Linked DNA regions of Oryzias latipes. The protein of the gene in region 2 purifies or fractionates together with the protein of the main gene of each other region. This does not show direct contact. Links are inferred from orthologs where the notes say so. Each region holds a gene or a part of one and is shown on either strand. Other genes may lie near its edges.

Region 1 (4,263 bases), on a different chromosome or scaffold from region 2:
CAGTTTAGATCCAGACTCCAGCTCAGACCAGGAAAACAAAGACGTACGTCTACAGGCTCAAAGGGTTGGAATGGGTACAATTGGATGCATCAGAATGGAGCAGAGCATGTTTGTGGCCCGCCCAACGTATTTTCTATGTAACAAATATGCTCTTTTTTTAAACTGCAATTTTTATTCTGTGTCCCTTATTCACAGTTATTTGAATTAAGAAATACTCAGTGATGCAATTTCAATATTAGTTTTATTTGTCCTCCATCATCAGAAAAATGCCACAAAACAACACCAAAAAATACACTGTTTATTGGAGTTGGTCTCTAAGTTCCACTCCATAGTGAGACTGTAGCATTGTTACAGGTATCAGGGCAAATTAACCCTTGTGCTATCTTAGATGACCCCACCCTTACATTGACCTGTTCTCCCTACCATGACAAAGGTGGATAAAGGTGGAAAGATTTCATGTAATCCATGGACACCAGTGAAGATCACAAATCATTGAAGAAAAAAGGTTCAGAGCACTGTCTAGTGGGTCTAGATGACCCAAATCCCAATGGTAACGTACCTAGGATAGCACATTAAAGGAGTAGACCTGCTGCGGCTGTTACCCTCATGGGCACTGACAGTAGAGTTTAGGGGTGGAGCAAAGGAATCCCAGTCACACAGAACAACCCAGCAGTAAGGCCCCAAGCCAAATTCTGCCACAGGTATCAATAATTATGCAGATATCAGTCTGCTTACAGAAGATAACATATTTTTTTAGAAACAGAAAAGATCATCTTAAAGGTACACTACAGCTACTTGTAATGAAATAAGTGCTCCGCATTTCACCCTGACTAATTATTGTGCACAAGAAGCCTATCAAAAAAGGGTAACACGTAGAAGAAAAAGACCATTCCATAAAATCCATACATTGCTTCTGTTCCACTGATGAGTGAGCTGCTGCCAAGAAGAGGTGAGAGGAAACTATCAGGGATGCCGGGTGCTTTACTTGAAGCTGACAAGAAAAGGAAAAGCATTGACACCTGCTCTCAAATGTTATTACTAATTCTGCATTTTCCCCCTCTTGATCTGTTTGCTTGTTTGTTTTCTTTTCTCTTGGAACAATCGATCGGTTTGGGACTCAGGTATGGCAGGTTTTCCCACTTCGACATTCAGTAATCCCATCTCACCCTCCTCCCTCTGAACAAGTGCCGTCTTATTCTGCCTTCATTCCTGAACGAAGCAGGGTTTTTTCCGTGCGTGTCACAGCAGCCCTTTGGTGTGAGATCACGTCCTTCTCTGCAGCCCAAGCGGCTGTTGTGCCGAGCGCGCACACGCAGGTGGCTGTGCAGACGCAGCGGAGCTTTCCCCTGCGCGCTCAGACTTTCCGCAGTTTTGTCTCACTCGGCGCCAAGGCAGCTCAGGGTTGATTTCATCATCAGGCGCGCGGTAGTCCGCGCTCACGCCTCCCACTTCGCTTCCCAGAGTGATCTGTGTTTGGACGGAGGACCCCATTTGCTCCTGAGGACAGAATGACAGGGGAGCGCACTGACGGAGACGCTGACGAGGTACAGTATGGCTCTCCCCTTTTAAATTAAATTATTTCCCCTTTTTGATATTTGCTTGTTGTTGTTTTATTCTGTTAAACTAGTTATTCTAGTATTTTTAGTTTCCTGCTGTGGCAAGCGCTGCGCTTTAGGAAAAAGCCAATTAACGCAACCAAATCCTGAGCTTTACGCGTCAGATTGCTCTGCTTCATCCAGGAAGAGACTTTAAAAGCGTTTAAAAGTTGGATTTTCAACCTCATTTTTCCACAAATGATCAAAATCATAAAAGCTTTGAGAGGATTCACTTTTACAACATATACTTGCATGTATGAATATTCATATTTTACAAATGTCACCTCTGGTAAAAAAAAAAAAAAAAAAAAAAAAAGATTAGTAGATGATATTCTGCTTGGATGGTGAGATGAAACACTGTTGCTTTTTCACAGAAAATGTTTTGAAGCGTTGCCATGCGTCCACATCCATGTGGAGCCAACTGTATGATAGGTCAGGACAGGAGCACTGTGTGGGTGGTGAGGACCCCTTGCGGCTGAGTGCAGGGGTGTGGTGCTGCGTGTTCAGTGCGCTTAAACCCATCCCTGTTCTCGAGGCAGGCCGGTGACTTGCACTGCAGTCTCGCTCCCTCTCGGCGCGCTGCGCACCACTCCGCCTCCACCACCTCCTCCTCTTCCTCACTTGTTTGCCTCCCTCGGATCTCCACAGGAGTTTCTGCAGTCGCCCTTCATCCGAAAGCAGGGGAACATATACAAGCCAAACAACAAAGACATGGACAACGACAGCGTAAACGAGAAGACGATGGATGATGTCCACACCAAAGAGATAGATCTAGTCAACCGGGACCCTAAACAAATAAACGACGACGTTGTCAAGGTGAGTCAGACCTGCTAATTTCGAACTTTTCAAGTTACTTTTAAAGTTGCAGCTGCAGAATCTTTCAAGACTTTTTGTGACAACAAAAAATAACAGTTGAGAGACTCCTGTGTCACAGACATTTCGGCCACTTTTTGCTTTTAAAGTCCAAGAATGTGATCAAAAACTGTCCAAGTGTTAAAATCTGGTTTGGTGTTTTCTGCGCCTGTGCGTCATCGTGCGCTCCCGGGGCTCAGACGCTGCTGCGCGCTGCCTCTCCAGAGCGGCCTCTTACTTTCTTTCCCCCTATTAGGAAGGAACTTTGCAGATGGAGTTGTGCTTTGCGCAGGCTGCACAGCCCATCTGCACGCACGGATTAAAAACGTGACCATCGGAACAAAGGAAACAGTACGAATTTCCTGTTTTTGGGACTCACGTTTCCCACAGTGGTTGCCTTGAAACCCTGAATTCTTTCCATAAGGGACATGCGCACAGAGGTTATGAGAGGGAGAGCTGGAAGCCACCTGAGGCGCTATGATACTGGAGGGGAGCGTCAGCTGTCTGTCACTCTCCACTCCAGCTGAGGCGGGCTTTCACATCAGAGCGGGGTCAAACAGCCCCCTGCATGAGAAGGATGGGTCAGGCCTCTGAAATGCCTGAACTGCGCTGTTAAAACAGGGAAACACCCAAGTAGCTGCTTAGTCAGAGGGGGATCCCTCACCACTCCCAGTGTTCTGATCTCCCCCCTTTCACCTGTCAGCATTCCAGCCAGAGGATTTAAATCTGAAGACATGTATGAATCGCTAAACCAACCGCCAAACTCATAAACAGTTCTTCCTCTCATGTTATTTCTGGAATTCCTCCACAAAATGATTCGATTTTATCAGATTCAGCTGATATTTCACTCCACGGGAACATTATCTGCAGTGTAACGTACAAATGTTGCCCCTTGGAAACACCCAGTCACTAGCATGAGACAAAGTGGGCACTAAATGCAGAAGTGAGTGAATTCAATAATGACCAACACATCCTTTCTTATTACACTGCACAGACTTGGCAAAGCGCTTAAGATTTCCTGTTTCTGTCTCTTCTTCACCGCTCTGCATCCTCCTGCTCTCAGTTGTGACGGTGAGTCAGACTCTCCCTGCGGTCAGGGCAGATTGAGGCTTTATGATCAAGTCAACTGACCGCCCTCAAAGTTAGTTTTCATCACATGGTCATGGACTGTAAACAAGAAACTTGTGTAATGAATTCCAGTTTCCATGATAACTTCTGAAAAGGTTTAAGCTATTCTTAAATCTGTGCTACGTTTAAGACCCACTCCATTGAAAATGGTGTTTTTGTTGTTTTTAACATGTTCTTGTGGTAATTTTCTGATGATGGAGGACTTATATAAAGAAAATGAAACTCAAAAACGCCATTTCTGAGTGTGTCTTTACTGAAATTGTTGTGATTCAGGAGCATAGAAAAAACTCTGAAAAAGATCGCATTGGTTGCATAGAAAATATGCTGGGTGTGCCACAAGCTCCCCGCTTTGCTCCATTCTGATGCATCCACTTGTAAACAGATCCATTAATGGTTTGTTTTTTCTGGTTTGAGCTGATATTTGGCTCAAAACTGCACGGCTGGATAGATGGCACAGATCAGAGTGGGTCTATAAGTAGAGCAGTCGTGTCTTTTCCGTTGATGGAAGCAGCTGGTTGGTATGAAAGAGCTAAATCCAGTCCGAACAGGGAATCCCTTCTGCGGTCATCCACTGTGTAATCAGCCACGCCGTCACACAGCTCCACACACATATGACAAGCAGCACACATCCTGAGTGCATGGATGCTTTGACTCATACATGTGAGAAAACCCACGGCTCTCTTGCAGC
Region 2 (4,247 bases):
AAGATTGAAAAAATCTATTTTGTTGTTTCCCCTGACTGATTACACATTACAGACTACTGTTTTTTATTTTAGATCAGATACAAACACTAAATATGGGTGAATATGAACTTGTTTCACTATTGATCAAATGTCAGTAAATTATTTTTCCGATTAACAGATGATTTTCATGAACCCAGTTTTATGGGACAGCACGTAGTAGAGATTATATATCAATTTAACCTGGGATTAACTGACTATAAGAACAAAGGTTCCCTATCGAGGCCCCCCAACAGCTGTTGTTGGCATGGTGACAAGCTCACCGTGACCGTCAGTCTGAAAATAGTGTGTAAACATTTACCTGTAATCTGACGTTAAACACCATTGAGGCTACCAAGTAAAAGTAGGGGAATCGTATTCTCAGCCGCCATGCGAGATCAAAAAATATCAACAAAGTCCTCGTCAAGCCTTTGGAGAATAGTCCGTAAGTCCGACCAGCGGAGCCCGAAAACCGGAGCACCAGATACGAAAGACTCGCCATAAAAGCCCAACCCTGAGCGCTGTGTTCTTGGCTTACAAAGGCAACAGGCAAGGGGACGCTACAATGGCTGCAAGTGTTGGATGAAGCTCCATTCTTCTATCTTTCACCCTCAACGAGCTCCGTCTTTTGCTGCCGTTGTACTGGCATCTACTCCACCCTGTTAGTTTTCTACCGAGGACAGACATCGCTGCGACACACGGAAGTGCAGTAAAACCAGGATTAAATAAAACCCCGAGTAAAGACTGAAAGGACTTCCAGATCTGGGTGGTGGCTAAGGAAAAAAAAAACACGTCCTAGACACAACTACTATGGTTCTCATAAAACTAAACAAACAGAAACATAGAAGAGGTTTTTTGAGTTACTAAATATGTATATATGTTGTTTTTGCACCATTACAAAACCAGGTAAATTGGTTTGTTTTCCAGAAGTTCACTACACAAAAAATCTTGAACTGAAGCAAAGTACTACAGACTTTTTGGAAATACAATGACCAACTAATCATTGATTGTGTTACATTTTTGAAGCTAAATATCTTTGTCGTATTAGAATAGGCACACATTGACTTTTTTTTTCTTTTACTACTTTATTTTTTAATACAGTGCATGTTTGCTGGTATGGTATAATTGAATTTATCGTGGTGTAGGGGTGGGAGAGCAAGCTATCCTTCCATCTCCAAAAAAACTTTTTCAGCCTGAAAGGCATAATTCAGGGAAATTAAACAACACACCAAAAATTCCATTGTAATCGTAAATGAACCGTAGACGCGTCAAAACTGACGTCAGTTCCACCCTAGGTGTCACACCGTAAATATTCCGTCTTCGACGATTTCTTTTATTTTGTTTTCATTAAACCAAAATGTAATATTTTAGTTTTCAAATGTTATTTATATATAACTTTAAGCTTTATATTTAAGACCAGAGTAGCTGACCCTTTTTTTTACTACTAGTTTGAGGCTATCTTTTCTTTGGTTAAGGTGTCTGTGGGCGTGCGCCGGATGCCCTATCTTGTAGAGCTGGCTTCATTTTTTTTTCTCTTTAGCTATAGGGGTGGTGGCCGCTGTTTTGCTCCATAACTCATAGAGCAGCTCACGAAAGCATGGGAATGTTGCCAGGGAATTTCTGAGTTTAGTTGACCTAAAGTCCGAATTGAGTCGCCGCAACTTTATTTTCTAACAAGCCGTTCTCCGTTTAGAAAGTTTTGAGTTAGCGCGGTCGACTGTTAGCAAAGACTGTTGGGTAGTTTCACTTGAGAGGAGTTGCGGACAAAGGACAAGCTATCCGAGCTAACGTTAACTGGCTCTGGGCTAACTTAGCATTCCTGTAGCTGCGGCGCAATGCAGGCCATAAAGTGTGTCGTTGTTGGAGACGGGTAAGTTGAACCTAACTAAACTCACTGTGATATTTAACATTTAATCGACAGTTTTGGTATCAAACCCTGAAACCGCCAGTGATGTCGAAAAGTTGTCATTCGACATAAATGTTGCGTCTTATTTTTGGAGTTGTAAAGTTAGCCAAGTTATCGGTTAAATATTGGACTTTCAAGTTCTTTTCTTTTTTTTTCGAAATGTACAACATTTTGTATTGCATTTGTTTTTCCCCTGATATTACCGTTCTGGATCCAATGTTCCAGATTTTTTTATTTATTTACGCCAAAATCAGTGAATAGAGTTAGATTGATCTTAGATTTGTTTTGAAGTTATTTTTGAACAAAATGGGCAAAAATTATATGTACTTTTTCGAAGAGTTGAAATTTGTTTCTTCTTCTGTTGTATTGACACGGGCGTGTTTTTGTGTTACACAATAGTTAAATTAGTAGGTTTAGTTTGCAATATTTTAAAGACAGGATTGTCAATGAGCTAATATTGAAAGTCTGACTGATGTGTAATATGCTAGAGGTAAACACACTTGTAACGTCTTGTCGAGGGTGCGGCTGGTCCCACCGCAGCGGAGTCGTCCCTCGACCTCTCCGACTTTTGTTTTGTTTTCCGTTCCGACTTGAAGAAACTCTAAGGCACCAGTTCTCTTTAAAGTTTCAAAAGTTTAAAATATCTGCTTACTCATCAACTAGCCTGGAAGAGAAAAAAAAACCTTATTTCCTGAAATCAGTGCACTCATTCTATCAGGAGTGCTTCAATAAAACTGACATTACCTACGAGATGATAATAAATGATTAACTGGCAATTATTGATTTTTGATATTGGATTATTTTGATCCTGCTTTTATCCTACGGATGATAATGTGACTCTCAGACTTCCTCCTTTCAGTTTGTTAAAAACCAAACTTTGCGTAGTGTCCACATTTAACTTGAAACTATATTTTTAATGGTTGTAATTATTTCAAGTAACTTTGATGTTATTAAATAAAATGCTTGGACTGTTTTTAGCTTTGTAAATGTAAAATAATCGAACAACTTAAGCCTGACTTTAATGACAGCTTGTATATGTTTTATTTTCCTGAATTCTGAACATAACATTTCTCTTATTCAGTGCTGTGGGTAAGACATGTCTACTCATCAGCTACACCACCAATGCCTTTCCAGGAGAGTACATCCCCACAGTGTGAGTGTTTATTTATTCATAATGGCTAAGCTGTCTGTCATTCTTCTTCTGGACAGTTGTTGCTTAACTGTGTCTTTGTTTCATTTCTTCAACTGGTCTTATGGGGGAATATTAGTTTCCTTGTACATAAGAAGTCACTTTCTTTTTTAACAGGCAGCTGTTTGGGTTCAGAGAAGCATTTGTTATGTAAAATTACCAGAAGTGCAACCAGCTAGTTTATTTTCTTAGTTGTGGGATCTGTGGCTTTTTGGGAATTTGTCACTCAAAACACTTTGGTTCATTCTGATTATTTATAAATGTACATTCTGCTTTTATTCTGATTCAAGAACAAGCTGAAAACATGTACTGCTGATGAACAAGGCTTTGATTTTTGACCCCCAAAAAACCTGTTTGATTTATCTAATGATCATAGAAATTCAGAAATATGTAGCAAGGCTTGAATGACATAACTGAGTTTTTATGAATGCTTGATTCTCACAGGTTTGATAACTACTCTGCCAATGTTATGGTGGATGGGAAGCCGGTGAACCTGGGCCTTTGGGATACAGCTGGACAAGAAGACTACGACAGACTCCGCCCACTTTCTTACCCACAGACGGTACAATGACAAAAATAGTCAGACAAGGTGTTATTTAGTTGATAACTTTTATAAATAATTAATTGGGAGCATTTGTGGTATTCAAATGTAGAAGAGGGTTTTAAAGAAAGTTAAACAGACCACCTTAGCGATAGGTTATTTATTTTTATTTATTTTTTGCTCAACAGGAAATGAATTTCATGGACTCTGAACCTTTTTTGTCTTTGTCTTACAGGATGTGTTCCTCATCTGCTTCTCTCTTGTGAGTCCGGCCTCATTTGAAAACGTCCGTGCCAAGGTTAGTGGTGCCTGAGCAAAAAACACTAATAATACAGATGTGAACACGTTGACTTTTTTAATGTTGGTAATTAAAATACAGACCTGTGTTTTTTCATATACAGTTTATTTTTATTTTTTTGTAAAAAAAAAAAAAGTGTATTTAAAGAACAATTTCAAGAGATGTGTACTATTGATTGGCTTTTTATGTAGAAAACTGGCCCAAAACACATACATTTTATTCATATCTAAGGCTACATTTTTACTATTCCCCAATCTTCTTACTTTTTGTGTTTCTTACACTTTTTTGTTAAATATTT
Region 3 (4,380 bases), on a different chromosome or scaffold from region 2:
TTATTGTTTAGTGTTATTTATTGTCTGTCTTTTTACTGAGCTGTGGTGTCACATACATTTCACTGGAGAGGGATCATTAAGTTCTATTCTATTTTCATAAAAAAAAAGAAATATTTCCATTATAGATGCTGTGCCAGGTAACAGCTGTCTCACTAGGGGTACTCAAGTCACTAGTGAAGACATGACCCCACTGAGAAAGAGCGCCGTGAAAGCAGAGCCCCTCTAAAAAAGCAAAGTGCTGGACAGTGCTGGACTATCAAGTGGACTTTAAAAGCAATTAGGACACAATGCTCAATACTTTTTTTTTCTTAACATCTAATATGACATCATCAATTTCATGAAGGGAAAATCTCACTGATATGAGCGCGACGATCATTTATAAATCCATTGAGATCTGGGGATGAAAATGTTGATGTTTTATTTAAATATATATTTAAACTGAATTTTTTCACAAAAATTGTTCAAACGCAATGCATTGTTGTCTATATTCGCCAATCTAGTGAGCATCAATGCACACTGGTTTTTGCAGAGACTTCTGGGAAATTTCTAGAGCACTCGATTTTGGAATTGTACAGTCGGACAGCACAACAAAATGGTGAACGCACTATATAGTGCACTATGTAGTGAGTAGTGAAGGAAATCTGACATAGCCGTTATCTATATAAAGACATCTGTTCACAACCTCAAACAGTCACACTCTAAACTCCACTAAGGCCAAAGAGCTGTCTAAGGACACCAGGAACCAAATTATTGACCTGCACCAGGCTGGAAGACTGAATCTGCAACAGGAAGCAGCTTGGTGTGAAGAAATCAACTGTGGGAGCAATTATTAGGAAATGGAAGACCACTGATAATCTCCCTCCATCTGGGGCTCCCCCCAAGATCTCACCCCATGGGGTCACAATGATCACAAGAACGGTGAGAAAAAATCCCAGAACCCCACATTGGGGACCTGGTGGATGACCTGCAGAGAGCTGGGACCAAAGTAACAAACCATCACTACACCACCAGGGACTCAAACCCTGCAGGGCCAGACGTGTCCCCCTGCTAAACTGATCATTCCAGTCCAACGTGTGGACAGACTTTGAATAAAGTCATGTGACCATCCAGTGTCTAGAATGTTCTCAGAATGTTCCCTTTGGATTCTTTGGATGTGGAAAAACAACAGAGGGGAACTTTAGGAAACTAACATGTGAATGGATTTGACATTTATTCTAGTTTAGATGATCTGGAAGAATCTGGAAAACTCCACTGTTCAGTAGCAGGAATTTCTGTCTGAGTCTCACTGCTGGAAGTTTTAGTTATAGATCTCCCGGATCCACTTCAGGTCAGAGAACTGGATCGATCAAAATGATCCAATATCAATTATGGATTGGATCAGCAACCACAAATTATGATATGAATCGAATAGTTTTCAGAACAAATTGCTACACCACTAGTAAATAGGTGCATGCTTTTGCATTTACGGCCGGGCAGCAGACACAAATTTGAAGTGAACCCCGTCTGATGTGAACGCAGATCACATCAGAGCAAGTCCTTTCCATCTCAGACAAAAAACAGCAGTTTGTTCCTTTAAAAGGGAAGATGTATCAAACACTACAAACATATGCTTTCCTCTAAGATAAGACTGCAGTAAAAGAAAAAGAAAACCCTCATCAGAAAACCTTCAAAATCAGAAGTTTCTGGATGGAAATATCACCAACACCAGTTTGAAAAGAAATAATCATTTCAGCTCAAATATTCAAGATAGCCCTAACTTTAAAAACACGAAAAGCTTTGGGGTAAAGTGTCATCTGACAGTTTTAATAGTTTTGGAAGTGAACAAATCACCTCCCTCACATGGATCAGAGGGAAAACTCCATTAACATTTTCAGATAGAAGTATTTCACTCGCCGTGTTTGATGATTGTGACAACAACAGCTGGAATTTACCCCTAAAAACATTTCCAATAGGTTATATTTCTATTTTGTTCTATCAAACAAACGACGTAAAATATCGGCCCATTTGTTCACATCGCTGCGGGTTCCGTTTCTCCTCCGGTGTGAGGGACCGAACGCCATTCGACTTTCAGTGCTCCTCGTTCGGCTTCGTTCAGAGACGACGCCCCGCTGGAGCGGAGCTCCGGCATCCGCGCCGCCGCCATTACCGGAGAGGCTGTAGCAGTTAGCTCCGCTAAGGACTGCAGGGCTCGACTAAATCCTCCGTTTTCTTTGAATGGTGGGGATTAATGTTACCCACTTGTTTGCGACAGGCGCCCGTGTTTGTTTGTTCTCACGCCACCATTTTTCACGTAAGAACCGGTGAACGACTTTACCGCAAGCTAACGCCATCGGTGCTAGCTAGCTCTGCTAAGGAGAGCCGTAGCCTGGGATGCTGCGAAGAAATATGCCTAGAATGCGGACATTTCTTTCACATATTTGTCCTTTCAGGAACATTTTTACATAAATAAGCCGGGGGGAATACAAATTAAATTGGGGCTTCAGTCACTGCCCGGAGAAAGTGTTCGTTAGCCCGCATCCTGACGGGCGATCCCCGAAGGGAGTTAGGATTCAGGAAGAATTCTGTCCTGGTTCGCGTGCAGCTTTCCCGGATGAATGGTGACCACCGTGTGCGTGTGTGCGCCAACCTTTTTAATATTGTACACCCGTGTCAACATTCCAATCCCTCTGTCGTTGAGGATGGTGAGCTTTTCGGCCAGTTTCTGCTGGCTGGGCTGGATCCCCGCCCGAGACATCTTCTCGCTGTTCGTTTAGATTTCCAGTCCGATCCCAAAAAAGAGCTGGAATCGCAAAAAGCTATTGTTCAAAATCTGGAAGCAGAGTAAAGGCAGTGATTTATGCAGGATTTAGATGTGTTCCATACTCAGATGTTTGTGGAAAACAGCTTCCTGTCCTCCACCCGCGGTCTCCCCCTTCTCTCTCGGTCAGGGACTGGGAGGAGCTGTCCTGGTTTTCCACAACAGGACTGAGAGGCGTTCAAGTACGCTCGGACATCTTAATTCAATTCCGCACCATTGATGGCACCTAACGTTCAGATAAAATATTACATTATTGCTTTCCTGTCGTAATGAAGGAAGAACGTTTACCACAGAAAAAGTTGATTAAAGAGAAACAAATAAAAAAAAATTGAAAATGAAAAAAAAAAATTCCAACATCTTTGATATGTGATCCAAACAAGAAGAAGCTTATTTTCAACAGTGCAGCTATGGGCAAAATGTTGAAAGTGGGTTGCAGACTATCTTTTTTTGATTTCTGAAATAATATTCTATTCCGTTTTATGCCTTTCAGCGTCACGGGGCTGCTGGAGCCTATCCCGGCCACCTGTGGGTGAAGTCAGGGATACCCTGGATCGGTCTCCAGTCTGCCGCAGGGCCACAATCCCGCACCATGCACTCATGCACGCTCACATATGGACAATTTTAGAGTGACCAATAACCCATGTTTTTGGACACATGCACGGGGAGAACACGCAAACTCCACACAGAAAGGCCCCCCCATTGACATTGGTTCAGGTCCCCCAGCCGGGACTTGAACCAGGGGCCTTATTGGTGTGAGGCACCGTTCAGCCCTTGGAATATTTCAGATCTACAAAATGGCCCACAACAATCCCCAAATAGAAAAACTATGGGGAAGGGGGACACACAAAAGGATTTTTTTGGGTTACCTTAGTAATTAGTTGCCATCCTAACTTTTTATCTTTTTTCCTTTTTATTTTTTTAGAATTTAGTTTGGATACACCTGCAAGAGACCCATTGCATAAAAAAATCCCCAAAACGTAACAATAGTATATAAGAACGTCATTTGACCATGTTCCTTCTTTTTAAAGCACAAGAAAATAAAGAATTGGGTTGCCATTTCAAAGTCACATTCAGACATCCATCCATTGGTAAACCCATTGGTTTCTGGTCAGGGTCACTGGACCCTCCCCCAGCTCCTGGAGTTCACTCTGGATGATTCACCAGCAGAGCTTCATACAGACAGATAATTACATTTCAATCTATTCAATTCAGTTTTGTTTATTTCAAACACAAATGAAAATAAACACAAGAGTTTAACATAGATAAAACAAAAAGAGTGGGCTGAAGAGAAATCTTGTATGATCCCACCTCTTTTTTACAACACCTGATGATCTGCGTATTTCTATTTACAGTTTTGTACATGTTCTGCATCCACATTACATAGGAATGTAATGTGGATGCAGAAGAGGCATTTTTGTTTTTATTGATCATTTCTTGTTCTGTTCCATCCTGTAGGTTTTCTTGAATGCATGTAAACTTTTGGTTTGTTTTAAACCTTCATCCAATCTGTTCCATAAATCCACACCCCAAATTGATGAGCATGTTTTCTTTTTTGTAGTATGAATGCGCTGCTTTTTGAGGTT

What was found. Proteins that work in one complex are often made in the same cells at the same time.
Region 1: the proteins of ras-related C3 botulinum toxin substrate 1 (region 2) and caveolin-1 purify together in Homo sapiens (affinity purification with western blotting; 4 studies listed by BioGRID and IntAct, with this or other methods). This does not show direct contact. The link is inferred for Oryzias latipes from reciprocal best matches to the Homo sapiens genes RAC1 and CAV1.
Region 3: the proteins of ras-related C3 botulinum toxin substrate 1 (region 2) and nckap1 purify together in Homo sapiens (pull-down; 4 studies listed by BioGRID and IntAct, with this or other methods). This does not show direct contact. The link is inferred for Oryzias latipes from reciprocal best matches to the Homo sapiens genes RAC1 and NCKAP1.

Annotation. Positions count from the first base shown.
Region 1 is NC_019864.2:2,997,880-3,002,142, forward strand, and holds the start of caveolin-1, read left to right. Parts: upstream 1-1,280; 5' UTR 1,281-1,508; coding exon 1,509-1,544; intron 1,545-2,243; coding exon 2,244-2,411; intron 2,412-4,263. UniProt on the Homo sapiens protein: May act as a scaffolding protein within caveolar membranes. Forms a stable heterooligomeric complex with CAV2 that targets to lipid rafts and drives caveolae formation. Mediates the recruitment of CAVIN proteins (CAVIN1/2/3/4) to the caveolae.
Region 2 is NC_019866.2:11,732,693-11,736,939, reverse strand, and holds the start of ras-related C3 botulinum toxin substrate 1, read left to right. Parts: upstream 1-1,302; 5' UTR 1,303-1,850; coding exon 1,851-1,885; intron 1,886-3,002; coding exon 3,003-3,074; intron 3,075-3,554; coding exon 3,555-3,672; intron 3,673-3,886; coding exon 3,887-3,949; intron 3,950-4,247. UniProt on the Homo sapiens protein: Plasma membrane-associated small GTPase which cycles between active GTP-bound and inactive GDP-bound states.
Region 3 is NC_019873.2:827,919-832,298, forward strand, and holds the start of nckap1 (nck-associated protein 1), read right to left. Parts: upstream 2,984-4,380; 5' UTR 2,863-2,983; intron 2,780-2,862; 5' UTR 2,735-2,779; coding exon 2,627-2,734; intron 1-2,626. UniProt on the Homo sapiens protein: Part of the WAVE complex that regulates lamellipodia formation. The WAVE complex regulates actin filament reorganization via its interaction with the Arp2/3 complex. Actin remodeling activity is regulated by RAC1.